7 linked regions of the Oryzias latipes genome follow. The protein of the gene in region 4 binds, or shares a complex with, the protein of the main gene of each other region. Links are inferred from orthologs where the notes say so. Each region holds a gene or a part of one and is shown on either strand. Other genes may lie near its edges. The genes, in order: srrm1, gpkow, usp39, snrpg, snw1, lsm4 and lsm2.

The links.
Region 1: snrpg (region 4) and srrm1 share a complex: the UniProt entries of both Homo sapiens proteins name them as parts of the minor spliceosome. The link is inferred for Oryzias latipes from reciprocal best matches to the Homo sapiens genes SNRPG and SRRM1.
Region 2: snrpg (region 4) and gpkow share a complex: the UniProt entries of both Homo sapiens proteins name them as parts of the minor spliceosome. The link is inferred for Oryzias latipes from reciprocal best matches to the Homo sapiens genes SNRPG and GPKOW.
Region 3: snrpg (region 4) and usp39 share a complex: the UniProt entries of both Homo sapiens proteins name them as parts of the U4/U6-U5 tri-snRNP complex. The link is inferred for Oryzias latipes from reciprocal best matches to the Homo sapiens genes SNRPG and USP39.
Region 5: snrpg (region 4) and snw1 share a complex: the UniProt entries of both Homo sapiens proteins name them as parts of the minor spliceosome. The link is inferred for Oryzias latipes from reciprocal best matches to the Homo sapiens genes SNRPG and SNW1.
Region 6: snrpg (region 4) and lsm4 share a complex: the UniProt entries of both Homo sapiens proteins name them as parts of the U4/U6-U5 tri-snRNP complex. The link is inferred for Oryzias latipes from reciprocal best matches to the Homo sapiens genes SNRPG and LSM4.
Region 7: snrpg (region 4) and lsm2 share a complex: the UniProt entries of both Homo sapiens proteins name them as parts of the U4/U6-U5 tri-snRNP complex. The link is inferred for Oryzias latipes from reciprocal best matches to the Homo sapiens genes SNRPG and LSM2.

What each region holds. Positions count from the first base shown.
Region 1 is NC_019880.2:16,881,488-16,885,153, forward strand, and holds part of srrm1 (serine/arginine repetitive matrix protein 1), read left to right. Parts: intron 1-1,093; coding exon 1,094-1,264; intron 1,265-1,400; coding exon 1,401-1,495; intron 1,496-1,929; coding exon 1,930-2,151; intron 2,152-2,237; coding exon 2,238-2,423; intron 2,424-2,500; coding exon 2,501-2,620; intron 2,621-2,907; coding exon 2,908-3,110; intron 3,111-3,332; coding exon 3,333-3,410; intron 3,411-3,666. UniProt on the Homo sapiens protein: Part of pre- and post-splicing multiprotein mRNP complexes. As a component of the minor spliceosome, involved in the splicing of U12-type introns in pre-mRNAs. Involved in numerous pre-mRNA processing events.
Region 2 is NC_019865.2:21,312,244-21,315,037, reverse strand, and holds part of gpkow (G-patch domain and KOW motifs-containing protein), read right to left. Parts: intron 2,301-2,794; coding exon 2,194-2,300; intron 599-2,193; coding exon 394-598; intron 305-393; coding exon 172-304; intron 8-171; coding exon 1-7. UniProt on the Homo sapiens protein: RNA-binding protein involved in pre-mRNA splicing. As a component of the minor spliceosome, involved in the splicing of U12-type introns in pre-mRNAs.
Region 3 is NC_019867.2:12,332,905-12,337,123, forward strand, and holds the start of usp39 (U4/U6.U5 tri-snRNP-associated protein 2), read left to right. Parts: upstream 1-1,321; 5' UTR 1,322-1,436; coding exon 1,437-1,494; intron 1,495-1,805; coding exon 1,806-1,884; intron 1,885-1,960; coding exon 1,961-2,055; intron 2,056-2,142; coding exon 2,143-2,279; intron 2,280-2,810; coding exon 2,811-2,963; intron 2,964-3,048; coding exon 3,049-3,274; intron 3,275-3,869; coding exon 3,870-3,944; intron 3,945-4,119; coding exon 4,120-4,187; intron 4,188-4,219. Other genes in the region: c9h2orf68 (UPF0561 protein C2orf68 homolog), read right to left, coding at 1-90, 889-998.
Region 4 is NC_019865.2:4,866,691-4,870,667, reverse strand, and holds snrpg (small nuclear ribonucleoprotein G), read left to right. Parts: upstream 1-1,439; 5' UTR 1,440-1,553; coding exon 1,554-1,585; intron 1,586-1,728; coding exon 1,729-1,751; intron 1,752-1,905; coding exon 1,906-2,030; intron 2,031-3,241; coding exon 3,242-3,292; 3' UTR 3,293-3,400; downstream 3,401-3,977. Other genes in the region: zinc finger protein Xfin, read left to right, coding at 1-191. UniProt on the Homo sapiens protein: Plays a role in pre-mRNA splicing as a core component of the spliceosomal U1, U2, U4 and U5 small nuclear ribonucleoproteins (snRNPs), the building blocks of the spliceosome.
Region 5 is NC_019882.2:3,678,797-3,683,251, reverse strand, and holds the start of snw1 (SNW domain-containing protein 1), read left to right. Parts: upstream 1-1,644; 5' UTR 1,645-1,757; coding exon 1,758-1,771; intron 1,772-2,193; coding exon 2,194-2,347; intron 2,348-2,421; coding exon 2,422-2,583; intron 2,584-3,599; coding exon 3,600-3,695; intron 3,696-3,841; coding exon 3,842-3,948; intron 3,949-4,455. UniProt on the Homo sapiens protein: Involved in pre-mRNA splicing as component of the spliceosome. As a component of the minor spliceosome, involved in the splicing of U12-type introns in pre-mRNAs.
Region 6 is NC_019862.2:13,834,337-13,838,767, reverse strand, and holds the start of lsm4 (U6 snRNA-associated Sm-like protein LSm4), read left to right. Parts: upstream 1-1,467; 5' UTR 1,468-1,587; coding exon 1,588-1,590; intron 1,591-2,016; coding exon 2,017-2,058; intron 2,059-2,298; coding exon 2,299-2,397; intron 2,398-4,089; coding exon 4,090-4,270; intron 4,271-4,431. UniProt on the Homo sapiens protein: Plays a role in pre-mRNA splicing as component of the U4/U6-U5 tri-snRNP complex that is involved in spliceosome assembly, and as component of the precatalytic spliceosome (spliceosome B complex).
Region 7 is NC_019862.2:27,136,548-27,140,810, forward strand, and holds the start of lsm2 (U6 snRNA-associated Sm-like protein LSm2), read left to right. Parts: upstream 1-1,446; 5' UTR 1,447-1,564; coding exon 1,565-1,567; intron 1,568-1,752; coding exon 1,753-1,820; intron 1,821-2,939; coding exon 2,940-2,970; intron 2,971-3,056; coding exon 3,057-3,116; intron 3,117-4,018; coding exon 4,019-4,144; 3' UTR 4,145-4,263. UniProt on the Homo sapiens protein: Plays a role in pre-mRNA splicing as component of the U4/U6-U5 tri-snRNP complex that is involved in spliceosome assembly, and as component of the precatalytic spliceosome (spliceosome B complex).

The sequences.
Region 1 (3,666 bases), on a different chromosome or scaffold from region 4:
GCATGTGATTTTAAAGACAGACCTTTGTTTAAAGGCAAAAACAGCATTGTAATTTGCAATTTTTAACCAAATCGTAGTGCAAAAAAGTTTTTGTTCTCTAAGCAGCACATTCTGTGTGTTGACATTTCAATAATTATATTTAACTTTTGTTTAAAGGTAGACGTTCAGGATACATCTTAAGTAGGTCAAGTAGTAGTAATTGAATGTTTATGCCTGTTTTAATGCGAGTCTCTATGCAGTCTTTGTAAAGTTTTTCTTAGATATAATTCCGAAGTGGGTGGACTTGCCCAAAAAAATCCCAGAAATGTAAGTGTGTAGGTGGGAGGGTCGGGCTGTTAGAATTTAAAGGGGACTTTAGTGTTTTTTTTAAAGAATGAATACAGTAGTAGAACTAGTTTTCAATGTTCTCACTTTTTCATTTATTTGAAATAAAAATAATCTATTTTTTGTGTTGCTGTGTACTCATTATTGCTTGTTCGTCTCTTACAATTTAGAATGATATAACATTAAGCTCAAGGTGGTTGAGTCTCAAGCTGTAGGGAGGCGGAAGCAAGCCAAGGGAGCTCCGTGCCCACTGGTTCCACGGGACTCACTGAAGACACCGGAACTGTATTTGCAGTGTTGGGTTTTAATGCACTCTGTATTATGGTTAATTTGTCGAACCCCTAAAGTGTAGCCTGGGGGGGAGACTGGGAAATGGGTTGGATAGCGTTACTGGGAGTGGAAAGTAGCAAAGTAGCACTTACAAAATAAATTACACATTTTTGTATTTGAGTTTCTGTGCTACGTTAACATATTTAAAACTAAAAAAGATTGCATGGAGTTTATATAATTGTATGAATTTATCATTTTTAACTGATTTATTTGTATTGGTTAGTAGTAAATCCAGCTTTGGACTGAGATATTTGTAAAATGATAGTCACTGTTAAACATGTTTTGATATGATTACATTAATCCAGGTTTAGTCTAGTGAGGGATAGAAGGCAGGACTTCCCATTTGTGGGATCCTGCCTCCTTTTAATATTTTGTTTTCAGATATTTCAACAGCTGTATTTTTTTTCTCTTTTCCCCTTTTCATGTCTGTGTGTTGCAGCATCCAGACAGCAAGATGATGCAGATCAACCTGACAGGGTTCCTGAATGGAAAGAATGCCCGAGAGTTCATGAAAGACCTGTGGCCCCTGCTGTTGAGCGCCCAAGAAAACATCGCCGGCATCCCCTCTGCCTTCCTGGAGCAAAAGAAGGAGGAAATCAGACAGAGACAGGTGCGCTTCCTCATCACCCCTATGTCACATTATTGATCTACAGCAACGTATTTCAGGGTTAAGTTGTAGTCGGTGATTATTTAGCTGAATGCAATGCTTCCCAGCTGTATGATCAGTGCTTTTTGGTGTTTCTCAGATTGAACAGGAGAAGATTGCTTCATTGAGGAAGGTGGATGAAGATAAGAAGGAAAAGGAAAACCGGGAGAGAGCTCAATCAAGGAGTCCAAGACGGTTAGAATTATCATCATTGTTTATGTTGACTGGTTTAAACTTCTGTGAATTTTTTGGGACCTTGTCTGACAAGTCTTTAACAGATGCATTTTAGAACTATATTTATAAATTTACTTCCCTTTAAATAAGTTTTTATGACATTGTATTCCCTGATGCATGTGTTCACAACCATGTGTTTTGATTAGAATTTACTTAACCCCTTGATTCTTGAATGTATTTCCAGCTTTTAAAAAAATGTTTTTGCTTTCAATTAAATGCTAAATTTAGCTAATTTTGGACCCAAAGATTTGATGATTCATGATTTGATGTACATTTGCTTTAATTGTGAAGCTATATCTTATGTTTCTTTGGATTGTCTCACAAAACCATACACTGTTCTGGCCTAAGTCTTACTTTAATACACTGAAACACTTTCTTTTTTTTTTTTTGTTCAGGCGGAAGACAAGATCTCCATCACCACGTCGAAGGTCACCAGTGAAAAGAGAAAGGAAACGCAGTCCATCACGGTCCCCCAGGCGTAAGCCTAGTCCAGTCGGCGGCAGCTCCCCCCCCCCTCTTATGCAGCTGCCCACTAAACCTTCAGAGCAGTCTTTGGAGCCAGATTCATCAGGAAAAGCCGCACAACAACAAGTCGTTCAAGAAGCTTCTTCTGCAGGGTTGGTGGTGTTTTGTTTTTGACAGATTGATTTGATTCATATCTAAAATGGTGGAGAATTAACACTTGAACATTTTTTTATTGCAGAGATACAGCTGTAGAGGCCGCTAAAGCGAGCTCAGCAACGGAGGTTAAAGAAACATCTCCGGAGAAACCTCATAAAAAAGCGGACAGACCACGGTCACGTGAAAGGGAGAGGGATCCGAGGAGAGAAAGGCCTCACCACCGCTCCCGGTCTCACTCCCATTCCCGTAGGCGCCGCTCCCGTTCAAGGTAACGTGGGACATCATTTGTTGAATTAGTGTGAAAAAATTAGGCTGCAAAAGGCTTATTTCTCTTTTCTTTTTCAGATCTTACTCTCCACGTAGAAGACAAAGTCCTAGAAGGAGGATGTCCCCTCGTCGAAGGAGTCCCCCTAGACGGGGCCCCGCTGGCCCCAGACATCGACACAGGCGTTCCCCTGTGCGAAGGTCGGATAGCAGAGATGCTCACCTATGATTTTGTTATACTGTTACAAAACCTTTCATCCAGAGTTTGAGTCTGAACTTCAGTTAATGCTCCCAGAAATATCTCACTAAAGAAACGCATATATTTTGACTTAATCAAAAAGGGAATAAATGCATAAATTTAACTTTTATCGTGTTAATGTGACACAAAATCTATATACCGTAGGTTTCTGTGGGTTTTTTTGTTGTTCCAAATTGCCTTAAAAGTTGTATTAAAATAAACATTAAAAAAAATTACCTTTGGTCTGTAGGAGGCGCTCTCGTTCTGCTTCGTCCTCTGGCAGCAGCTCCTCTGGTTTACGTTCTCCTAAAAAACCCCTGAAAAGAACGTCGACCACCCCACCCCGGAAACAGCGTCCCCCCACATCCTTGAGCCCCGTAGGAAAGGACAAACGCTCGCCTTCTCCACGAATGAGAAGGGGCCAGGGCTCTGCTTCCCCGCCGAGATCCTCAGGTAGGATGTATACTCAAGTCCAATGAGAGAACAAATGTATCGTCTTATCTTGCCTTAAAGCAACACCTGCCCCCCCCCCCCCCCCCCCCCCCCCCCCCCCCCCCAAGAAAAAGTTTTTTTACAGTCCATATTTCTTTGTGACGAAAATATTTAACACATAAATATTCTACAAGCTCGAAATCTAGACAGACTATTTTAAACTTACAGAACTCTCATTTTCAGGTTTCAAGCAAAAACCAGAAGGAAGAGAATCTCCGTCTGAAAATGTTAAGATTGGACCTTCTGACGGCTCCGAGTCAGGTCAGAGCTGAGGCTGTTAAAGAAATGTTCTTGTTTCACACCTTTGGATCAAAAATGACAATGCTACACTTTGGAACCATATTAGATAAAATACACAATTATCATGAAGCATAAATGTAGATTGGAATTCTTTACTAGTGGAGTTTACAGATTAACTGAGTTGAACTTTGTTTACCTGGAAAAACATTTAGGAATAATAAAATAGTTTTTATACACTCCAACAACCAAAACTATGTGGTTGTTACTTTTTCAGCTC
Region 2 (2,794 bases), about 16 Mb from region 4:
AGGCGACCTGTTGCAAGGAAGCAAATAAAAGAAAGAACACATTGTCTGATCCTTTTGTGCTTTATTCTGCCCACATGAATAAAGGAAAAGTCTTGGAACAATAGTTCTGCGTTTGACCATTTATTTAGGCGATTAGGAGAAAAATCCATGCAGCTGAGAAAGGACACTCACTGATGTCTTTGCTGTATTTGTCGTATTCTTTTCGTCCGACCAGTCTCACGCCGTGTTGGCTGAGTGTCACAGTCTTGCCCCCGACGGCGAGCTTCACAACCACTCGAGCGTTGTCTGCATCGACGCCTTCAATCTGCCGCGTCAGGGAAAGTCAGAGCGGTTGGTGTAAAGGAAAAACATAATTGCTTAAGGGTGGCAGTGACGTGGAATGCTGAACTCCACCTTGCCATAGAGATCTTTGTGTGCTCCAGACTCCACCAGCACACAACCTCCAGGACCCATCACTAGCTCCTCCTCCTTTCCCGGCTCGTCTCCGGGTTTCGGCGGACGCTGATTCCGGTTGGGTTCCAGATCTTTTATGGCCGAGCGATCCGCTCCGAGGCCCAGGCCTTTCGGGCGGAGCTGGTGTTCGATTGGCTTCACGTCTCTGAAGCAGACAGAGAAAATCAGCCTTCGATCAACAACAGACTGAAGGTTAAACAGATGAAAAACTGAATCAAAAACCTGAGGTTTGATGACAAAATTAAACTCAACTATATGATGCAGCAAGCCGAAGATTTGATCATGTTAAAACTTGCTTTCTGTTGTCTTTCTTATTGTAATTTCATACGTTGCATCTGATATCCAATTTATTACAGAAGGCAAAAAGTGTATCAACAATTTAGTAGTTTTTTTCTTCCTTCTTCTCATTTTGCTAAAAAGCTTCAGACATTCCAAAAAGGTCAAAGACATTTCTTGGGCCCGCTGGGAAAGTCAAAATGTTATCAAGTCAAGGAAAAATATCGTATCACTTTGCATGAAGAAAAGTGTCTAACTCTAACTAGAAGCTGCTGAGGAGCTGAGCAGAAACGGATGCTTGAATGCTGAAGCCCAGAAACGTACAGCAGCTCACTTTTCCTCCTTCCACAAAGTTCTGCTTTGAAACCTCCGTGTTCTCCGTCTCCTCCCCAGCTCCGGCGGGCGTGAGGAGCGACTCAATGAAAACACCCGAAATCCCAAACAATGAGAGGAAGTGACGACCCAATTAACAAATAATGTCTCCTCCGGCTATCTTTGCAAACATCTAACACCACATTGGTCCAGCTTAACAGCTTACGGGGAAGCTCGGCCGACCTACTTATTTTTAGCACACGGCTTAAAGTTTGCATTGGTGCAAACGCGTGGGGATGTGTAACCTGCTGAGCCAGCAAGATGTCAAAATATGATGAAGATAAGGTTCTCCGAGCAGTCACCAAAACGATCATTTTAAGAGAATTCTGAGTTAAAACAACATTCTGCATGCGTCAAATGTTTCAAAGCATTTCTCTGTTCAAATAGTTCAAGACAGACGCGCTACAGGCAGACTAACCACGGGTAAAATGATATGAGCATCTCAATAAATCAACAAAGAGATCTTTTTTTTCTTGAAATAACTCGTTTTCCAATCAAATGTATGCATACATTTTAATTAATTGTATTTCTACTTAAAAATTGTAAGTGTTTTTTTCTTTTTACATGTATGAAGGCTGGTTCGATGGGCTAGTTAGGTGCAGGACTGGGACATGTTCGATTCCCAGAGGGAGCGATGAGCTTTATCCAGTGCGAGTCCTTGGGTAAAAGCACTTTTTTGGGTTAATGCCAAAAATATGTTTAAAAAGCAATTTAACCTGCTGTTTGTGCATTAAACAACATTTCAGATATTTTGGAGATCTTTTTGTGTTTCTTTGTACTAGAGTTGGTGATGGCACCGTTGTTACGGAGAAGAGTTCACATTGGCACTTCATGTCATCAATGTCACTGACCCCTGGTCTAGATTATGGAATTTTGCTGGATAATGAGGAAAAACTGGGAGAACAGGACTTCCTTAAACACTAGGAAGGATGTGATGTTCTCCATTGATCTATAAAAGCTTTGAACTGAGAAAGAATGAGAACATGTGGTATTCAAATCACTTTTAGTCATAAATTAAGATAAAATAATCTACGAATGACATCATTCCGAAAGTCTATGTTAGATCAGGGGGTAAAGCCAGCCGTCACTTACTGTTTAAAGGTGCGCCCAATGCCTTCACTTTTCTTCCAACCCATCCCTTTGAGCATGGCCAGTCCGTAAGCCTCCACTGGAACGCTTTCATAGTCTGCCTCTGTAGACTTAAAAACAACAAAGCTGGAAATGTTTACCAAAATAACGAGCAAGGAAGATCTAAATGGGAGGTTTGTGTACTGCTCAAGGTTTAAAGATGGCGGCTGATGGAGGGAGGCAGGCTGTAACGTCCGTGTCACTCAGCCTTTTGGTTTCGGGGACTCGACGCCGGCTGACTGAAGCCGCGCCGATCTCTGCAGCGCTCCCACTCATCGCTGTCCCCACTCAAGGCTTTCCTCACAGATTGACTGGGAGATCTCTCTCATTCAGGAGGCCGCATTAAAAAAGAGCTGCGGGGCTCATGACCCCCATGATCTGCCGCTCACACGATGGAGCAAGACATGGGATGACAGTGAAGAGACGTGCCAGGCCTCTGATTAAAGGAAGCAGAAGGAGATCTGACTGGCTGCCTGCGTGTATCTGGGTGGGGGCAGATAAAGCAGCGTTGCCAGTCTCCCACAGAGGCCTGCCCGGACAAAGTCATCTGTAGTCTTGCACGCCA
Region 3 (4,219 bases), on a different chromosome or scaffold from region 4:
ATGTCAGGTCGCCGAGGCTTTTTGGGGGTTGTGGTGCGCCTGTGCCGCTGAAGCTCTTTGGCTTGCTTCACTTCTTTATCATAGTCATCTCTTATAAAGAAATTGAAATATTTTCTGATTATTTCTTAAAAACATAGCAAGTTGCACAGTTGAATAAAACACAGAGCATCTTGGTCATGGCCATGAACTTAAAAATGTTCCTAGGTCTGTTTACACATTGGAGGATAATACTTTTTTTAAAATTTTATTATTTTAAGGCAAAACAGCTTTGTTTTTCATACATCAAAGCAATTTAAAGAGCCGCACAACAAAGCAACATTATTATTGCTGTTCTTTTAGCTTTATAGTTCATCTTTCAAAGTTGCCTAAATAAAATCAACATGTTAAAAATCCGTTTTAAATGATTAAATAAAGAGTGAGAGTGTGGGAATTAAAACAAACTTTTTTGTTTGGACGTAAATCAAAATACTTATCATACATTATTGTAGCAGCTTTTTTTAAGACCAGACAGAGAGCAGATGCTGTAAAACAGCCCAACTCAGCGTATGTAATTTATCAAGGAGGAACTTTAAAAGTTTTACACACCAAACCTAAGTTTATATAATAATCCACTTTTAAATAATAAATTACACTAATAAAACATAAACCGAATAACTTAATGCTCCTTTTAAAATTTCAGTCAGTCCAATAGGGTTTTGCTTCTACTGCTTTAAAGTAAAAATAAACTTGACTTTAAGCCTTTTAGGTACTTTAAAAAAATGTTATTTCACTGTCTGCCATTTTTAAAAAAATCATTTCACATCAATCATGAAATGACAGCAGCTACAGATTGACATTTGACATCCCAAGTAAGTATGCTAACTCGGCTAACAGCAAAAAGGAAATCACCTGGCAATCTGGTTCCTCCGAATATGATGAAGGAAACCGTGGCTCATGTCCAGACGGCCCCCCGGTTTGTACTTCAGCTCATGCACTCCTTCATCTCTTATAAGATCCATTTCAGCAAACACTCTAGAAAGAAAACACAGCTAAAGAAGAACAAGCAAAATACTAACAAAAAGCTAGACAGCTAACGATGTATAAATGGATGTCCAACCGTAGCGTTCCCGGAGTTTCTACAAATTAATTTATTGCGTGTAAGTCCTACAATGCACATTGAACTAAAATATAAACTATTTTGGTTATATTTCTGTGACAAAAAAAGAAACTGAAGTATACAAATAAATAAAATATATTACTTAGAGTTTACATGGGGGTAAACATTTATTTTTTAAACTCCGGGTTACGTTTTGGTTTCCCACGCCATTACCACCGACGTACAACCACCGCGAGTTTCGAGGAGCTGAATAATATCCATTCATTTCCTCTCGTAAACCTTCAAGTTTTGTTAATTTTTGTTTCGTTAGCAAACCGTTTGCTAACTTATAGTTACAAGAATGTCTTTAAAGCGTGAAAGGGAGGAAATAGAAGACGACGAGGATAACGAAGACGAAGGTATGCTGATTTGTCTCTTACGTCCGTTTTTCGTTTTGTTAGCCAGCCAGAAGAGCATTTTCTAGCATAAAAAGTTTATATTGTGTCAGTTCCATTCTACACCAATAAACTGATGGTTTCACATGTAAGACAAAGACAATCAGCATATAAAAATATATGTAAAACCTGTTTATTTTAAAACAGAGATCGATTAATAGAAAAATCTTAGCTTGCTAGCAAGCATGTTTTGATTGCTAGTAGTTAGTTGTTCTCGTAAAAATGAATTCCGTTTACGTCTACTGAGCTTTATCGTGATTTGCTCTCTTTTGCAGTGACAGTCAAATTTAGGCGAGGACGTGTGGTTGAAGACCGAAGAAGCCGCCATTGTCCTTACCTGGACACCATAAACAGGCAAGGAAATGTTTGAAAATGTATGCTAAAGCTAGTTAGCATTCTTCTTGTAATTCAGTTTCTTCTCGTCTTGCAGGAGTGTTCTGGATTTTGACTTTGAGAAGCTCTGCTCCATTTCTCTGTCTCACATTAATGTTTATGCCTGTCTTATTTGTGGGAAATACTTTCAAGGTAGACATATTAGCACATCAAACGCACATTGTTATTTTCCTTTTTAGATGACACTAAACATCTTTACGTTTGCATTCCTTGTTGCAGGCAGAGGTCAGAAGTCTCATGCCTACACTCACAGTGTCCAGTTTTCTCACCATGTGTTCCTCAACTTGCACACACTCAAGTTTTACTGTCTGCCAGACAACTATGAGATCATTGACTCATCGCTAGAAGACATCACAGTAAGTAATGCAGTAAATCTGCTGTTTTTCAATGTATAAATGAAAAGGTAATTGCTCTGGGGGGAAAAGTAAACAGTTACATGTTAAAATTAAACAAAGTTTTTTGTTTTTCTTCTAGATATGATTGATAGATTCTTTTGCTCACATTCCTTGTTTGTCAGTGTAACACTTCAATAGTTTTCATTAACATATTCTGTGTTTAAAAATAGTTTTAACTTGTGAACCCAGAGTACATAAAAATGTGTTCGATATTTATATATTTTATACAAGGCCAATGTATTTGATTGCATAGTATATTTTATTTACTATATTTTGCACATAAGTATCAGTACTAGTATCTAAAAATAAGTTATTTAGCAATGTCTTAAAGTATACTTTTTAGAGTTTTGGCTGTAATTTTAATACGTCTTTTTTTTTTACATTTCTTTTTTAAATTTTTAATGTTTTATGTTAAGTAATTTTTACCCCTCCTTTTTTTATTTTTTGTAAGCTCTTGCTTTGTGTTGGTAATCTTGCTCTTTTTTTCTTTAGTATGTGCTGAAGCCGACTTTCACCAAGCAGCACATTGAGGGTCTGGACAAACATGGTAAACTGTACAGAGCCTACGATGGTACAACCTACCTGCCAGGGATTGTAGGGCTTAATAACATTAAAGCCAACGACTATGCCAATGCTGTACTACAGGTATGAAACCCCGCTGATGTTGATTTTTGAGGCTGTGGCATCAACTTAAATAACAGGGGGTTTCATATTGTACTTTTGTTTTTAGGCTTTTTCCAACGTCCCACCTTTGCGAAACTACTTCCTTGAGGAGGAGAACTACAGAGACATCCGGAGGCCACCAGGGGACATCATGTTTCTGCTGGTGCAGCGGTTTGGGGAGCTGATGCGCAAACTTTGGAATCCGAGAAACTTCAAGGCCCACGTGTCGCCCCACGAGATGCTGCAGGCTGTAGTCCTGTGCAGCAAGAAAAACTTCCAAATCACCAAACAAGGTAACTATTTTGTGGCCTGTGGAGTGCTGACATAAATAGGGCCATGTAGGCTGAGATTTTGGGCAAAAACCTCATTCCATCAATGAGAGCACTAAAGATGAAACATGGCTGGATCTTCCAACATGACTGATCCCAAAAACATAACTCTGGCATCAAAGAGAATCTGTGGAGGGAGTTTAAAGTATGTTTCTCAGCAAAAGCCTCAAAACATTACAGCTCTGCATGGAAGAATGGTCCAGAATAATAGCTATAGTGTTTGTAAACCTGCTTAAGACCTATGTTTGACCTTTGTCATAGATAATCATGGTTACATTACAAACTATTGAGGTGAACTTTTGTTGTTGACCAAATTCTTATTTTCTGCACTATTATACAAATACATTCTCTAAAAATCTGACAATGTGATTTCCTGGATAATTTATTGGACATTTTATCTCTCAGTTGAAGTATATCTATGGTAAACATTACAGACCAAACTCAGCTTTTTGAGCGGGACAACTTGCAGAGTCAGTGGCTGCCAAATACTTTTTTGCCCCACAATCTTTAACTCACTGGATAAGTTTGTAGAGTTTGCTCAATGTTTTCTGGTTTGCAGGTGATGCTGTGGACTTCATGACATGGTTCCTAAACGCCATGCATGGCGCTCTTGGAGGCACAAAGAAGAAGCCATGTGAGTCAGAAATTCACTCCTAGTTTATAGTAAATCTGTTGAATTTCTGAATTCATTTATTTGATGTGTAATTTTCTCTTTTATTCCAATGTAAGGAGTCTATTTTAGAGCCAGTGCTGGTTGTCTGCATGCAATGTCCTTCAATTTAACTGGTCTGCTCTTTGTTTTCACACAGCAATTCTTACAAAAGTCTTTCAAGGCTCCATGAGGATTTTCTCCAAGAAACTACCACATCCAGATTTAGTAAGTCTCTGTTTAGCTTTTATTTTAAAATT
Region 4 (3,977 bases):
TGTGCACCAACAACATGGACACCTGCAAGGGGCCGGGCTCCAAGAGGCACAGGCTGTACCACTGCGTGCCCTGCCAGCAGGGCTTCTCCGTGCTGGAGTGCTTCCTCCAACACTGTCAGGAGCACCTGCGGGTCCGGGTGGAGGAGGACCGAGAGTCGGAGGCGCTGGCACAGCAGGCCAGCAAAGCCTGATGGGAAACAGAATGTGTCCAACAGCTGCCTTTTTTTTTTTGCTTTATCATCTTCAGGGTTGAAGAGAACATTTGATTTTTTGTTTACTCATCAAAGTGCGATGCCTTCTGCTTTCTGTTTGTTAATAAAGTTGTTACAATTTGAATCAACGCCTGGCAGATTCAAAAGCTATTTTCCCATCAAAACTTAAACTTCCTGGAGAGGGAAAGCACTGATTAACATCATCATTTATGTCTTTAATACACTGAATGTGTTTTGTCAAATTGTGCTGTTTTCTTCCAAATAATCAGCAAATATATAATTATTAATTCTTACATTTTATTTTTTGTCAGGACAGCTTTCCATGAGCACATCACCATGGTAACTTGCTAACAACATCCTACTGAGGATGAATGAAGCTGTTTTTCTTTTTTCTTTAAAATTGCTTGTAAAAGTAAAAATCATAGTTTATCAAATTTATCATAGTTTCAAAATGTTCCCATAACCTCTTAAAGTTAAGGTAGCTCAGGTCATGTTAGTGAGGAAATATGAAGTAATGGATGCTAACATCCTCTTGAATGGCTGGCTGTTCTCTTTGGTAGATTTTGGGTTGAATCTCAGCCATTTGTTTTTTTAGTGAGTGCGAATTTATGAGATTTCCATTTTTCTGAGGGTCTAGCATGAATTCCTATAAACCTTTGCTTCATAAAAAACGTTTTTGATGTCTTTATTGATAGCAGGAAACGTGGATTGTATCTCCTTTCTATGCAAACAAAAGCAGCCGCCTCAAAGTTTTGTTTCTCTAAAGTTATTTTCAGCGGCTCTTTTCAGTGTCACTGTGATGATTTAAAGTTTGAAAAATGTTTTGGGAATTTTTCACAATCTTCCTTTGTAAAGGAAAAAGTAAAACAAACTGTCGCATTTTTTAAATGTATGTTTGATTTTATTTTTGCTTTTGATCATTACAGCTCAGATGTTCAACCAAAAAAAAATAAAACTAATCAGCTGTGCTTTTGCACAAATAAAAATCTATTAATACAATGAGTTTTTTAAGGTTTTCTATATATATATATATATATATATATATATATATATATATATATATATATATATATATATATATATATATATATATATATATAAAATATATCACACACTTCATGTGCATGTATTTTTATAGTTGTTTTGGTCATTTTCTAACTGCAAATAGTATTATTTGCCTTTGGCTGATCCCTTTTTAAACCAGATTACTCCTCCCAGCCGCACGAGGGCGCAGCACAGCAAAGGTCACAGGGTTTTACTTCCGGTCTCCCGGTCCACACGCGTTTCCTACGCGGTTTTGTGAATTGAAACACGACTTTGTTTCGTTAAAATACAGACACCATGAGCAAAGCGCATCCACCAGAGCTAAAGAAGTAAGTTTGCAAGTTTTTGAAAGATGATAGGCCTGATAGCTTCGGTCTTTTTCGCGAGATTGTAGTATGTTTCCATGTTAGCCACCGTTAGCCGGAACAGCTAGGAATTGAAGCTAAATCTAAATAATGTTTTTGTCTTTCAGATTCATGGACAAAAAGCTTTCCCGTGAGTTAAAACTCTCGTTTCATTATTTAATACATATTTCAAAATTACACTATATTTCTATTCATTCGCCGGCTTTTTCTTGTGAAATTAAATTCGCTTTTAGCTAAGCTAGCAGCCTTCATGTTCATCAGTTTGCTCTTTTTGTTTTCTTCAGTGAAGCTGAATGGAGGCAGACACGTCCAGGGCATCCTGCGAGGGTTCGACCCCTTCATGAACCTGGTGATGGACGACTGTCTGGAGATGGGCCCCGGGGGACAGCAGAACACCATCGGGATGGTGGTCAGTGTCCGAGCAGAACTGTGAAGCATGAGGGAATAGTTTAATTCAATGTTTTACCCCACCCGTAATAGCAGGACGAATAGGTTCAATTAAAGATCATACTCTTTATTTATTTTTATCTTTATTAGCAATTCCATCTTTTGACAATTTGAACCAATTTGAGTGCTGTCTACATAGATTTATAAAAACATGCACAACTGTTTTCCTAACAAACCAGACAATCCTATAAAGAAATATGAACCAATAAAATATGTTAGGGGTCTGCTAGTTAGTAACAAAAATGTAAATGTTCTAAAAATCATCTTTTTGATAAAGAAAATTTTCTACCTCACAAATACACTTTTTTTGTTTTAATTACTTTTTTTTTAACTCCTTTTAATTCACTACATTTTGAATAAAGAAATACGCAGAAAAGCAATTTTAAGCATATTTTTTTTAAATATATGTCCTCATCAGAAAAATGCCACAAGAACATGTCAAAGTAAATAAATTAAAGCAATCCCAGTTGGTCATTTAGTGGTTTTGATCATTTCCGGCAACTAATTTTTAATTTTTTCTACAAAAACAAATTTTGTTTCGAAGTTTATTCAAAATTCTTTAGTCAAAGAACCTATTCTATCCACTTTCTCTTGTAAATATAACATTATATTGATAAGACAGACTTCCTCGTTTGTTTTCCAGGCATCTGTATTCTAGTTGCTACTGGTTTTCTAGATCGGGAAGCTGCAGATTCTGCTTGATGAAATCCACCTGATCCACGTGACTAGCTGCAAATAAAGCAGGGTTACTGGAAAACATTTCCACATTTTTATGTGTAGCCAAAAGTTCATTACTACTTAAAATAAATACATCCAGACCAACAGGGGAGCCTCAATGCCTACTGAAAATCTCTCTTAAATATATTATACTGCCCCCCCCCCCCCCCCCCCCCCCCCCCAATACTCCAGCTTTTCCAAAGATGTCTAATTAGTTTATCTGAAACAAAACTGACCTGTCTTTACGGAAGAACAAATAACAATTGCCTGTTCCAGTGAATATCTGTGAAACCAAACGTTGGCAGGTTCGTGGTTTTTCCTGATGTGACAGCCTCAGGAAAGGGTTTAGTAGTTTTTCCCAAACTAGAACATTTCTCTTATTCAACACACAATTGTGTAAAAATAAATGTGTAAACGTGAAAAGATCTGATCTGTTTTCCTTTTGTCTTCCCGAAGGTCATCCGAGGAAACAGCATCATCATGTTGGAGGCTTTGGAGCGAGTATGAGCAGAGCACAGCGGCGCCTCCTGTTTTCTCATTCCATTGTAGTTCATTCACAATGAAAGTCTGTTGGTTTTGAGATGTTTGTTTGTTAATAAACTATTTTTCTTTTTATCCGTGCATTTGTTTGGTTTTACGAAATGTTACTGTATGTGTTCTTTCCTGTAGATGCAGCAAGAATTTAGTGTTTTTGTAATGGAGGATGAGCTGCTAAACAAAAAAAGAATATCTTAAATGTTAGGGTTAGTCTTATCTTAAGGAATTCGAAAGCTTTTTTTATAGCTTAGCTGTTAAAAAGCTATAATGGCTAAACAATGTTGGGAATGCTGGTGATGAAGACATAAATGCTGAACTATTTTAATAATTTGATAGACCTAAAGTCAGCTGAATATTTAAGATATGCGTAATTTCCATTCATGAGCTGGCAAACTTGTTATAAACTAGCAGGCAAGTATTTGTTCATAAAATATTAAAAAGTTGGATTCAGTTTGTTTATTCTTGAGCTCTATCAAGTTTAAAAGTTTCCACGTTGAAAGGAAAAAAATTTAAGGTATTTTAAAATTAAAAACATTAGCTGCTTGACACTAAAACAAAGGGTTACCAATTTTTCTAAAGTTTAAAACTATATACTTTTATTTGGTGGCTGTCAACAAAAAGCTGAGTGTTTTTTTATGTTGTCAGTGTTTAACAT
Region 5 (4,455 bases), on a different chromosome or scaffold from region 4:
TTTGTTGACTTGCTTTGTGTGTTTTTGTTATTTTGTTTGTTTACATTTTATTTTATTATTCATGGATGCCATATTCTTTCAGTTTTACGGTGATGTGTTAGATTTGGGATTAAATTCGGCGGGATTTTGTGTCAGGATTTGAAATTGTTGGTTTCGAGGTAACCCTGATCCCTAATTTCAGAAAAAAATGTTCAAACTTTTCTGCTAAATTTCAGGGATACCTGTGCAAAAGTGTAAATCAACCCCATTGTTTCCTGATCGCATTTGTTTATAATTTCAAGTTATACCAAAGAGAACAAAATCCTGATAAATATGGGATCCAAAATGAAGAGGAACAAACTTAATGAAATCAAGAGACAACATTCGCTGGTGGGAAATAAAAATAAGGCAAAGAATTTCATTGATTTTGAGGATTCGTGTCTCTGCACGACAGCAGTGCAAACTGCTAGATATCTTAGAAAAACCTTATTGACAGATCACAGGCTTTAATATACATTTAGGCTTTAAGATTGACAGAAAAAGGATTTAGACTCGCAACATCTGCATGAAAGCAGGATATGAAATCACTTATCCATGAGTGGACTTAATAAGGTGGCTACCTGTTTTCTATTAGATCCTAAGGGATTTCCTTCTGTTTCAGCAAAAGTTCTCTGGCAGTCTGAGTCTCTTCCTGAATATGAATGATACTTTTTATTAAATATGAAAACAATCCAAAGGAAATGGAGGAAGTTTCCATCCACCAAAAAAAAATCCTCTTTTGAAGTAACAAAATATGTATCTGAAGTATCCTTATGTAATTTATAAAAACATTTATGCATTTTTTTTATTCAAGCATATCATTCTTTTATTCTGTCATCCTTGTTTTTTTATAAAATTATTATTTTTCTATTGTTGTTTTTTGTGTAATTTAAATGTTGCTTTAACTTCTTAACTTTACCTTTGACTCCCGTGTTTCTTCATTGGGAACCTGGCCTGCTGAGTCCAGGGCAGGGATCTGCAACCTGAGGCTATGGAGCCACATGTCCATCCATTGTGGCTCTAAGGTTTAAAAAAAAAAAGGGAATGATTTGAAGAAATTATAAATGTGAAGTTTGGAACAAAATAATAATAAGAGTTGTAGTGTACTGTCTGAGTGTTTTTTGTTTTGTTTTTTTCAAATAAGCCTTAAAGCTCTTTTTCTGATCCTCTGCGCCACAACACTGTGTAGTTGCTGTTCAGAGACAAAGTTCTTATAGTTTATAAGTTATGATGCAGCCAGAAGATCTTATTTGGTACAGGGTGTAATTTATTTTTAAAGGAATTTGGATAAGCGGCCGTCAGAAGTAAAGCAAGTCCAAATTTGTATGCATAGAAAATATAAAGGCTGTGTTATTTCAATTATTTTAAATATTTAATAACTTTATTTTATAGATGAATAGATGATTGGCCAATACAACATATAGGGTTTTTTAATAATTAGAAAAAAATGTGGGAAGCACAAGTGTATGTATAAAGTTTCGTGTTTTTTTCATTGGGTGGGTGAAAGCCTGTTTTTTGTGTGCATTGGCTTTTATTATGTAATTAACTTAACAAGTTAACATAACAAATAAAATGTTGTAAAACGAGTATGTACTTTTATTTTATTTTGTTTTTATCGAACTGGACATGGTTTGATATGTATTAGAGCTTAGAATTGTCAAACCTGGCAACCTTCTTCTCTTTTTCGCTTACGGCCTGTTCTTGCGCATGCTCACTTCATAGTTCAGGAAGAAAGGAAAATGTCTCTGACGAGGTAAGTCTCTAAGTGAGGCCTTTTGGCGAATAAGGCACAAAATGCGATCGGAGTTTCTGTCTGTGTTTGTTATACATTTATTTGGTTTAATATTAAACGTTAAATATTTAGTTAAACTTTAAACGTTTCGCTCTTTTCTGTGTTTATGATGTTAGCTAATGCTAGCTAGTGCTAACTAGTGAGACGGGGTTAGCATTAGCTTGTACCCTCAAACGACCGTTTCTGAAGTTAGCTTGTTTGTTTAATCTATTACTTAAACACATGTATTTGATATCGTGTTAAATAAACCTCTTTACCTGCATTAACGTTTCAGGTTTGCAGTTTTTGTTCCTGCTACTTTGACGTCGTTTCACGCTGATCCGCGTTTACAGCGACTTGCTAAGTTGTCTTTAAACTGCATTATGTGGACCTGTTTTGCACAGCTATTTACCGGCACCGACCCAGCTGTCTCAGGACCAGCTGGAAGCAGAAGAGCGGATTCGGACCCAGAAATCCTATTCCACTGCGCTGGTTGCGTCCCGTAAAGAACCCCCTCCTTACGGACACAGAAAAGGCTGGGTTCCGCGTGCATTTGAGGTGCACTTCAATGGATTACACATTGGTTCACTGCCTAGTTTCGCATTTCTACAAAACATTCTGGGTGTTCCTAGGACTTCGGAGATGGCGGGGCTTTTCCAGAGATTCACGTGGCCCAGTTTCCTCTGGAGATGGGCAGGAAGAAGAAGACCTCTAACGCCCTGGCAGTTCAAGTGGACGCAGAAGGGAAAATCAAATATGATGCCATTGCCAGACAAGGACAGGCTAAGGATAAGGTACTTGAGCTTTTCCTCTTTCTGGCAGTCAGTGAGGAGCTTTAAAACCCTATTCTTGCTCTTAGTGTCCACAAATACATGAGAGGTTCTGACTTCTTGGTTCTATTCCTATCAGACACGGCTGTGTTTTATTTGTATTTTTTCACATAAAAAAGAACCAACAAGTCAGTTAATAATACAAGACACGATGAACTTTATCAAACTAACATGAGAGGTTCATTATATGACTTGACAGATTCTAAATTGACCTCTAAAAGTCCAGCTGAAGAACCGATGTTCTGGATGACAGAATCTCCACAGAAATGTGGGACCTAATCTTAACTTTGGTAATACAGCTTGGTTTGGTTGTCATTTAAAAAAAATGCACACTATAGTGTTTTGTTTTTTGTAAAAACCATGTTTGATCCTTACATTTCTATTGGTGTTCATACACGACACTCCAGACGCATGTGGGAGGAGCTACCGCCAAACGGTTTTAGCCTCATTGCTGCAGACAGGGATGATGTTGAGATATCACGTTTTTCTACTTTGAAGAGCTCTACAAAAATGTCGATAGGCACGTCTCCATGTCTTGATCAATGAGATCATCCAGAGACTCCCACATCTGCTCCTGAAAGGGAAACCCAGTTTGACGACTTTCTGTTCTGCATTCAGGACCTTTTTTTGTGTGTCTTGATCCACTTATAACATCTTCAACGCATCCCGGTCCGAAGAGGAGTCCCTGATTGGTTGACGCGGCGCATCTTGTTTGCCGAAGTTCATATTTTTGAACTCTTGACGCACCGCAACAGCCAAAAAAGCGCGCGGCTGCCAGACTGGTGTGCAGCTCCAAAATCAAATCTGATTGCTTCTTTACGTTAAGCTAACATTAAAACTGGACACTCCTAATGCGCAAATGGCATTTAGTGTAAACGCAGCTTTACACAATCTATCCTATTCTATGAGTCTGCATGTTTTGCCATATTGGTAAATTTTGAGTGAGATTATTTCTATAATTTTCTTCTTGATTTTTGTAGGTGATTTACAGCAAGTACACTGATCTGCTCCCAAAAGAAGTTCTTAATGAAGACGCTTCAGGCCTTCAGAAGCCGGATGAGGAGGCTGTAGAAGAGGTAATTTGCTGCTCGGGCTCGTGCAGACATTCAGGATTCATTCATCCGATTTGGTGAAATTGTCTTTCAGCGTGCCCTTACTTATTGTTTTTAATTACTGTAAGCATGTGTAGTTTCTCATGGTTGGGGATGGATGCTCTTTGCAGTTGACTGAGAAGACTCGGGCCGCTCTACAAAAGCAGGTGTCGCAAAAGATTGCTGCAGCCATGCCTGTCCGGGCCGCCGACAAACTCGCTCCTGCACAATATATCAGGTAGCAATTTACCTGAATCATAAACAGTACTTCTATTTTAGATCGAGGACTTCTTTGTTGTTCCATCAGATCCTCTTGGATTTTGCAATCACACCAGTTCACATGAATTCAACCAATTCTTGCGACGTTTTTGCCCAATTACTTTTGCCAGCTGCTCTTATTTTAAACACTTTCTCCACCAATCAAGCGTAGAGGCTGAAGCATAAACATCTCTTGTCTAATCGAACATGCTTACTTCTGGAACTATATCAAACAACAAAAGGAAGTATTGAACAGTCGGTCTATCACAACATTTTGCAAATATTGAAGCTGGAAGTTTCCTTCAACGTTGCGTTGAAGCACCAGCGAGTCGATGATTGACGAGAACCTTTCCACCTGACGTTTGCAGAAAACGACTGAAAGTTGTGTAGAGAGTATATGGAGATGTTGATTTACCCTTCATGGGGTTAAATAAAATCCCCTTCAATAAACAACTTTTCAAATATTTCTCCTCCTACAGCTTTTGGT
Region 6 (4,431 bases), on a different chromosome or scaffold from region 4:
TCTTAAACAGCCGGAGACCCTCACAGCTGACGACTCCTTCTCCCACAATCAAAAGAAACCTGCCGTTCTCTCTCATCCTGCACGCTGCGTCAAACCCAACGTAATGACGCCATCAACGGAATGACGGCTACGGTGGCTGAGAAATGTCAACTTAGGGAAAAAACAAAAAGAAAAAATAAATAAATAAAAACTACACAAATATCCTATTTTAATACAACCAATTGTCTTGCCTGTGTTTTATCATAAAATAAGACTTTAATTAAGTACCAAGCTATAAATTAGTTGTTGCAAAAATTGCACCAGCAAAAATATGAACGTGTTGGTCAAATTATATAAGGATTCACGTAATTCAATTACATGAATCCATTTGGTAATGAAAAAAATTATTATTTTTTAAACCACTGTCACATTTATTTAGACTTTACCAAAACCAGACAGACCTTAATCATAAAATAGAATAGAACAGAATAGAATAGAATAGACTTATTTTATTGTCACTGTGTCACATGTACACGCAACAAAATTCCAGCTTTTCCTTTTTTATAATACAAGGAGTTGTGGCAGTGATCTATTCAATATTATTCTTCTCTTTCTTCTCTATTATCCTCATTTTATCATCATTATTTTTTTTAATTTTATTCTGTACTAATTTAAGGAATAAAAATGCATTTCACTGAAAATGAAGAAAAAATTACTGTATTATGTTTAGTCTAGACACTCATACCTAATGCGAACTAATCAGCAATGGTACAATCTGAAATTTGAGACACAGGATTTTGCTATAAGATATTATTAAGCGGTTTTATGCTTTGAAGGAAATGTTTGTGTATAGATAGATAGATAGATAGATAGATAGATAGATAGATAGATAGATAGATAGATAGATAGATAGATAGATAGATAGATAGATAGATAGATAGATAGATAGATAGATAGATAGATAGATAGATAGATAGATAGATAGATAGATAGATAGATGGATGGATGGATGGATGGATGGATGGATGGATGGATGGATGGATGGATGGATGGATGGATGGATGGATAGATAGATGGATGGATAGATAGATAGATAGATAGATAGATAGATAGATAGATAGATAGATAGATAGATAGATAGATAGATAGATAGATAGATAGATAGATAGATAGATAGATAGATAGATAGATAGATAGATAGATAGATAGATAGATAGATAGATAGATAGATAGATAGATAGATAGATAGATAGATAGATAGATAGATAGATAGATAGATAGATAGATAGATAGATAGATAGATAGATAGATAGATAGATGTTACACTTGGTCCTCTGTATTTATTTTTGAATTTCGTCACAGTAAAAGAACAAAAGAAAATGCTCCTGTGTTTGATAGATAGATGTTACACTTGGTCCTCTGTATTTATTTTTGAATTTCGTCACAGTAAAAGAACAAAAGAAAATGCTCCTGTGTTTGCGCATGTTTTGCGCTAGGGGGCAGTCATGTTTTAATAAGACGTGGCACCGAGTACGTAGAAAACGAAGAAGAGTCTGCGAGTAAAAATCGTGTTGCTAATCTAAGGCAGCACAAACATAACCTACCAGAATGGTAAGTTATTACTTACAAATGGACTATTTTGTAAAAATCACACACTATATAAAAATACTGACCTGTTCTTTGGCTTCAAAAATCCCATGTAACTGGTTTAAACATCGCAAATCAAGGCTAAGCTACGCTAGCAACCAATGCTAAATTGTTTTCTGCTTGTGGAACGCTGACTATACAAGTGGTTCTTTTTAAAATTATTTTCTATATAAATATATAAGGGGGGGGGGTCACCATTTCAGATACACGTTTAGTACTAAACTAAACACAAACGAATCATTATAGTTCGGAACAGAGCTTAAGTTTCTCCGCCGACACAGAAATACATTCAGACGTGTTCTTCATTTCTGAATCAATATTCCTTTTAGAATGCATTATTTTAATATATCATAGAGATCATAAATCGGACCCATTTCTACTATTTCGCAGCTTCCCTTGTCCCTTTTGAAGACGGCCCAGAACCATCCTATGGTAAGAAATAATTGCTTTTCTTTCCTCCTTCTATTCCTTATCTGGTGATTACTGGTTAAACCATTTTATTCAGTTACTTGTGGTTTTAAGATCAGGTTTTTTGTTTTGTTATTGAGATTGTTTGCATGTTTTTCTTTAAACAATAATTTTTGTGCATTTCTTTTTGAATAAAGAAAGAACCTTTTAGAAAACCATAATCACCAGCTGACCTTTTTTTCAATGAACTTTGATTTTTTTCAGCTGGTTGAACTGAAGAATGGAGAAACCTACAACGGTCATCTGGTTAGCTGTGACAACTGGATGAACATCAACTTGAGAGAAGTCATCTGCACATCCAGGGTAACAGATTTGCTCTCATGTTCTCAGTGGAGAACGATCCATAAACTGCACACCTTAAATAAAAAAAATTAGCTTAAATTTAACAGTCGCTTACCTGTTTCCTTCAGTTTTCATTCTGACTACCTTAGCCGTTTAAAGACCCACCCCAATTAAAATAGTGTATTTGTTTGGTTTGGTTTTTAACATGTTTTGTGGCATTTTTCTCATAATGACGGACATATATAAAGAAAGTTTGTAGGCAATTAGATCCATTTACGTCTTGGTTTTCCTCGTCTGAGCTGGCATCTGGCTTTAAACTGTACGTCTGTATAGCTTCAACATTCCCCACCAATTTTCTTGCACTTGGTGTTAGATTGGGGGTATGAGGGTGTGTAAGCTAGCAGGAGAGTGGAAACAAAGGGACCTTGGAAAATGCGGCAGGCTTTTTTAGGTATATTTCTAATGAACTTCTGTCACTCTGCAGAAACTGTCCTAGAAAACAAGACAAGTTTTTCATTTTGGCTTAAAGCTGCATAATGAAAAAAAACAAAATCAAAATACTGGGAATAGATCAAAAGATAATTGAAGTGAGCCTTTAAAATATAAAGACTAATGTATAATGAAGCAATGGTTTTAGTAAAACATCCTTTGATACATGTTGGAACAAAAACCTCAACGCTAATTTTTTTTGTTAGAAGAAAAAGGACTGATTATTGTTAAAGGCCCTGTACCATGCTATTCCTAAACCATTCATGGTAAAGAATATCCATATATATATTACCTTTGGCCCACAAAAGAAAGATTTTTTAAATTAAATATTAGTTACGTGGCGCAGTGGTTAGCGCAAGATCCCCCAGCCAAGTTTTGGGGACTTGGTTGCTGTTGGTCCCCCAGCCAACTGCAAGCCCAGCCAGGTCCAAGACTTGGCTGGGGGACCTGAAAAAGAACCTGTCTGTGTGGAGTTTGCATGTTCTCCCCGTGCATACGTGGGTTTTCTCCGGGGACTCCCACCTTCGTAGGTTAATTGGTTACCTTAAATTGTCCATAAGTGTGAATGCAAGTGTGCATGGGTGAGTGATTTGTGGACCTGTGACAGACTGGTGTCCTGTCCAGGAAGCCCCCTGCCTTCACCCATGAGTAGCTGGGATAGGCCCCGGCAGCCCAGTGACCCCAAAAGGGACAAAGCGGGTTTAGAAGATGAATTAAAAAATGATGAATGAATATTAGTTATTTTCCTGAGTTATTTTCCAACCTGGAAGCAAGACGACTGGATCTGAGGCACCGGCACTTCCATGATGTCAACCTATAGCCAGCATCAACAACATGTCTGTGTCTCGCCCACGAAACAAACAACATTCAAACTTTCGTAAAGATGAATGTGCATATTGAGCATGTAAAGAGAGTTTTGCCAAACACCACTAGCTTCATGGAGTGTGTGTTTTAGCCTGGGGGCGGGGCTGGCAGCGCAGACTCTTCCTGGAAGGGGCTGTTCTCACTTATCTACATCAGCTCGTGAGAACCCGCTTGTTTTTGTGGGTTAGGTGTGGCTGGTTCCTGGAGCACAGGTTTTTAGAGGAATTCTCAGAAATGCGTGAATGGGTCAATACTGGTTTGAGGTTTCTTTATAATACACCGGGAAGTTCAAAAAAGGGATTTAGCATAGACCCTTTGAAGTATACTGGTTACACTCATCGTTTGGTCTTTTTCCCACAGGATGGTGATAAGTTTTGGAGGATGCCAGAGTGCTACATCAGGGGAAGTACCATCAAGTATCTGCGAATTCCAGATGAGATTATTGACATGGTGAAGGATGAGGTGGTTTCTAAGGGTCGTGGACGTGGAGGTGCCCAGCAGAATAAGCAGCAGGGTAAAGGAAGAGGCGGAGCCGGCCGAGGTGAGAGGAAGCAACTTCTGCATTTGTTCTGTCATGATTTGCCTTAATGAGACTTAGATCAGCTTAAAATAAGTAAAAAATCCCTCTGTTAAAGCTTTTAAACACATCTGGTGAAACATCATCTTTATTTGTTTAGGAATTTATTATTCTAACTTGCTGAA
Region 7 (4,263 bases), on a different chromosome or scaffold from region 4:
GAGAAAGTAAGAATAATAATAACTATATTTTTTTGTGATTCCGATGTGTTTCCTGTGTGTGCTCGGATGATATTAACAGTTTCGTTGTGACTTCAAGGGTCAAGTGACAACATTTATTCATTCTGTAAAGTCTTTTTAGAATAGGGTTAGTTTTACATGATAGTCTATAGAGAAACTCTGTTTTTGCTTTTAATGATCCACTTATCTACCTATCCATCCTCAGAACCCACTGAATCCTTTAACTGAGCAACTGTTGAGTAAAGTTAGTGGACCACTACGTCACTGTGCAGCCCTATATTTGATGAAAATGAATTAAGTTAACAGTTGCAGAAAGACTCACTCTATCAAGTATGTATCTTGTAATAAAAGAATTTCCAAAACATAGGAAAATTCATAAAAGGAGTAAATGGTCCAGAGTTATCTCACCTGTTTGTTTTTTATCCTGAACTAGAGTCCACTGAGACACCGTCCACTCCACAGTTTAAGCACATTTAGTGGAATTTACCCGTGTCAACAACAGAAGACCCAGGAGCAACGTCTTAACTTTCTCAAAAACAAAACAAAAGAACTTTTGAATTAATAATTATTTTAAAGATAAAACTGTGTACATTCAGTTGTGATTCGTTGCTATAGAGTTTTCTGTTTCAGATCAAGTTCGTAAACCATGATGAGTAAAGAAGCTGAAAAGATTTGTTAAAACATCTGAGTGCTCGACACTGCCCCCGTGTGGTCTTTCATCAGAATACAGAAAGAACTCTTGAAACAAAACGGTCACAATTGTGTTCATTTTCTGATTTTTATTGCATCAAACTGTAGATAAAATCAGAAAGACATTGGAGAAGAAACAGAATAAAACTCCAAATGGCACTGGAGACCAAAGGTTCTTTAAATTAGAAGACGTAAACAATAAATATATCCAGTTTTCATACAGAAAACTTTCAGCATTAAAGCATGAAAAGCATGCTTTCCTTTGACCAGTATAGAAAAACACAATTTCTTTACAAAGATTAATATCGTTATTAATATAGTTTAGGTTCTATGTTTTTATTACGACCCTACGTTTTTTTTTTGTTTTTTTTTGGTGGCCCTAAAACTCCGTCGTAATTTATAAAAGAACATTGAGGAACAAACTTAATCCTGATTAAAAACTCTTGCAGCAAATTATAGACATTTCAGGTTTGTGTTTGTGTGTGTTTTTAAATCACAGTAAAGGTCTGCATACTACAAAAAAATAAAGTTTTGAGGTACAAAAAGTATCACAAACATGTCTGGTAGCTAGACTAGAAGCTAGACTAAATCTGAATTAGACTTTTGATATTTTATTCAATTTTTTAAGAGATGGCTCATAATGTTTTTTATGTCTTTTTTTTTTAAAGAAATATGAGTGAAAGCCTAAATTTAAATCTCGGTCAATGAAAAACACCTGATAGTTCCTTAATAAACATTGAACGACAGTGTGTCTCCCTCTAGTGGCGCAAAGTGGTACTCACTCACCGCTGAAACACGGCGCAGGCTGATACGTCATCAACAGCAGCCAAACCTTCTGTAGAACACCACAGCCAAAATGGTAAGGCGTAAATCGTCATTTTAAAATGTACTTTTTTAGTTTAAGTCAAACATTTTAGGTTTCTGAGTGTCAGAATTCTTCTGAATTTCTTTTGTTTTGTCGCTGAGTTTGCTCGCAGTGTGCTGAGCCGCTTTGTCGGCCCATCATCGTGCTAACATCGTCTTTTTTTTAAAAAAAATCTACAGCTTTTCTACTCGTTTTTCAAGTCTTTGGTTGGGAAGGACGTGGTGGTGGAGCTGAAAAACGACCTCAGGTTGGTTTTGATAACTCAACATACCAATTTGTTTGGTAATGTTTCTTTTCAAAGCGCCGTTTGTGGTTAAAAATGGCGCGTGGTTCTGCTAGCGCTGTTTGAATGGGTGCAGTGAAGAGCTACTTAGCATTGACAGAGACATTGACTCTGTCAGAGTTGCTGTCTTTCCTTCTAGCTGGTGTTTTGCATCTCATGCTGGTCACAGTGGCGTGGGGTTGCCATCCCTTCCTTCCAGCATTTGTTGCAAATCTGGCTCAATAGGTTGGTGCCAGCAGCGTGAAAAATGTACTTTTTTTCCTGTTAGTTTTCTGAGCTAACTCTTGGTCTGCAAACGTGCTGCAAATTCATTTTAGACCTTTTTCCCGAAGAAGTAGGGTCAATTGCGGGGGTGGGGGTGGGGGGTCAATCAAACTAGCTGCATCTCATGATGAAAGCTCAAAAGTAAATATTAAAATTAGCTTACAGTTAGTTGTTGGGCATTCTTTAAAGACGTAACTCATAATTCTTAGCTCCTCTCACAGATGGACGATACTTAGACATGTGGTACTTTTTTTAAAAACCCATCCAAATGAAAAAAGTGGTTTTGATGCCATAAGCTCCCTGCTCTGCTCCATTCTGATGCATCCACTTGCAGGCAAATAGATTTGTCCGTCTTTGTTTTCCTGGTCTGAGCTGGCACAAATAACTGTACGGCTGGATTGCTCCAATATTACTTTTTTTTTCTTTTTTGTTGCACACCTAATGTTGGGTTAAGGGGGGGGGGTTGTAAGTTAGCAAAGGATGATGGGAAGATGGGGCAGGCTTGCTCTGCACCAACGATCTCAGACAAATTTCTAGTGAACAACTGCTGCTCTGCAGAAACTGTCCTAGAAAACGACGCAGGTTTTTTTTTTATTTTTGGCTAAAAACAGCACATTTAAAGACCACTAGGAGCGCTTTAAAAAGATAAGAGTGGGATATAAGAAAAAACAGACTTTCCTGCAGCATTGACAATAGAAATAAATTTACTGAACAAAAACTTTGACTTGTTCAATACAAATTTGCATATTCCCAGAAAGTCATTTAACATCAAAAGTTCACTGTTGCATTGAAAGCTTCATTTTCTCTTTTTCCCCCCAGTATCTGTGGGACGCTTCATTCTGTTGATCAGGTTAGAAAATAATTAATTCTTTACTTTTTTTAATTAATCAATGTATTGGTTTGCAATTTAAAAATGTTGTTCTTGTCATCATCTAGTACCTGAACATCAAGTTGACCGACATCAGTGTGACAGACCCAGAGAAGTATCCACACATGGCAAGTCCTCATCTATGGTTTACTTTTTAGTCTAAAGTTTGCATAGAGGCCTCTAAAACATACAGTTGTTTTTATTCTTTTATTTCCTTCTGTCAGTATAACAAACATTTTTAAAGTTGTCTGCTGGGTGAGAAATGTAGAAGCACACCTTTGGAAGTTCAGTTTCAGTGTAGGGCAGAGCAGACAGCAGTTCTTCAGGTAAACAGCAAAGATTTAGAAACATTTTTCAGAGTTTCTAAACTACAATTTTTCAGAAAAACATTTAAAAATATGCAGAAGTTCTACACTCACTGCCCACTTTATTAGGCGCACCTTGCTAGTACTGGGTTGGACCCCATTTTGCCTTCAGAACTGCCTTAATCCTTGGTGGCAGAGATTCAACAAAGTTCTGGAAACATTTCTCAGAGAGTTTGGTCCATATTGACATGACAGCATCACACGGTTGCTGCAGATTTGTCGGCTGCACATCCATGATGCCAATCTCCCGTTCCACCACATCCCAAAGGTGATCTATTGGGTTGAGATCTGGTGACTGTGGAGACCATCGAGTCCAGAGAACTCATTATTAATAGATGATTTCAGCTTTGCTGCGTTCAAAATCACTTAAATCACCTTTTTTCCTCATTCTGATGCTCGGGTTGAACAGCAGCAGATCATCTTGACCATGTCTAAATGCATTGATTTGCTGTCATGTGATTGGCTGGTTGGAAATTTGTGATAACGAGCAGATGGACAGGTGTGCCTAATAAAGTGGCAGGTGAGTGTAAATGTGGTTATTTGACCCGTGAGAGTGGTGGGAAAAAGAGAAGTGTTAGCTTCTGAATCCCCTTGGATGTGTTCATTCTCTTCCTCTGGAAGGCGCCCTGCCTGACTCCGTGTCTCACGTGTTTCACGCTCTCCAGCTGTCTGTGAAAAACTGTTTCATCCGCGGCTCGGTGGTCCGGTACGTTCAGCTGCCGGCAGACGAGGTGGACACTCAGCTGCTTCAGGACGCCGCTCGGAAGGAAGCCATGCAGCAGAAGCAGTGACCGGGGCTGCGGGTTCGGGGAGGGGGGCTTTAAGTCATGGGTTCTTTATAGTTCAGTTTGAAGAAGACCGCTGTGAACCGCCTCCACACACTGCGCCGGTCGATGGAGAATTGAGTGCA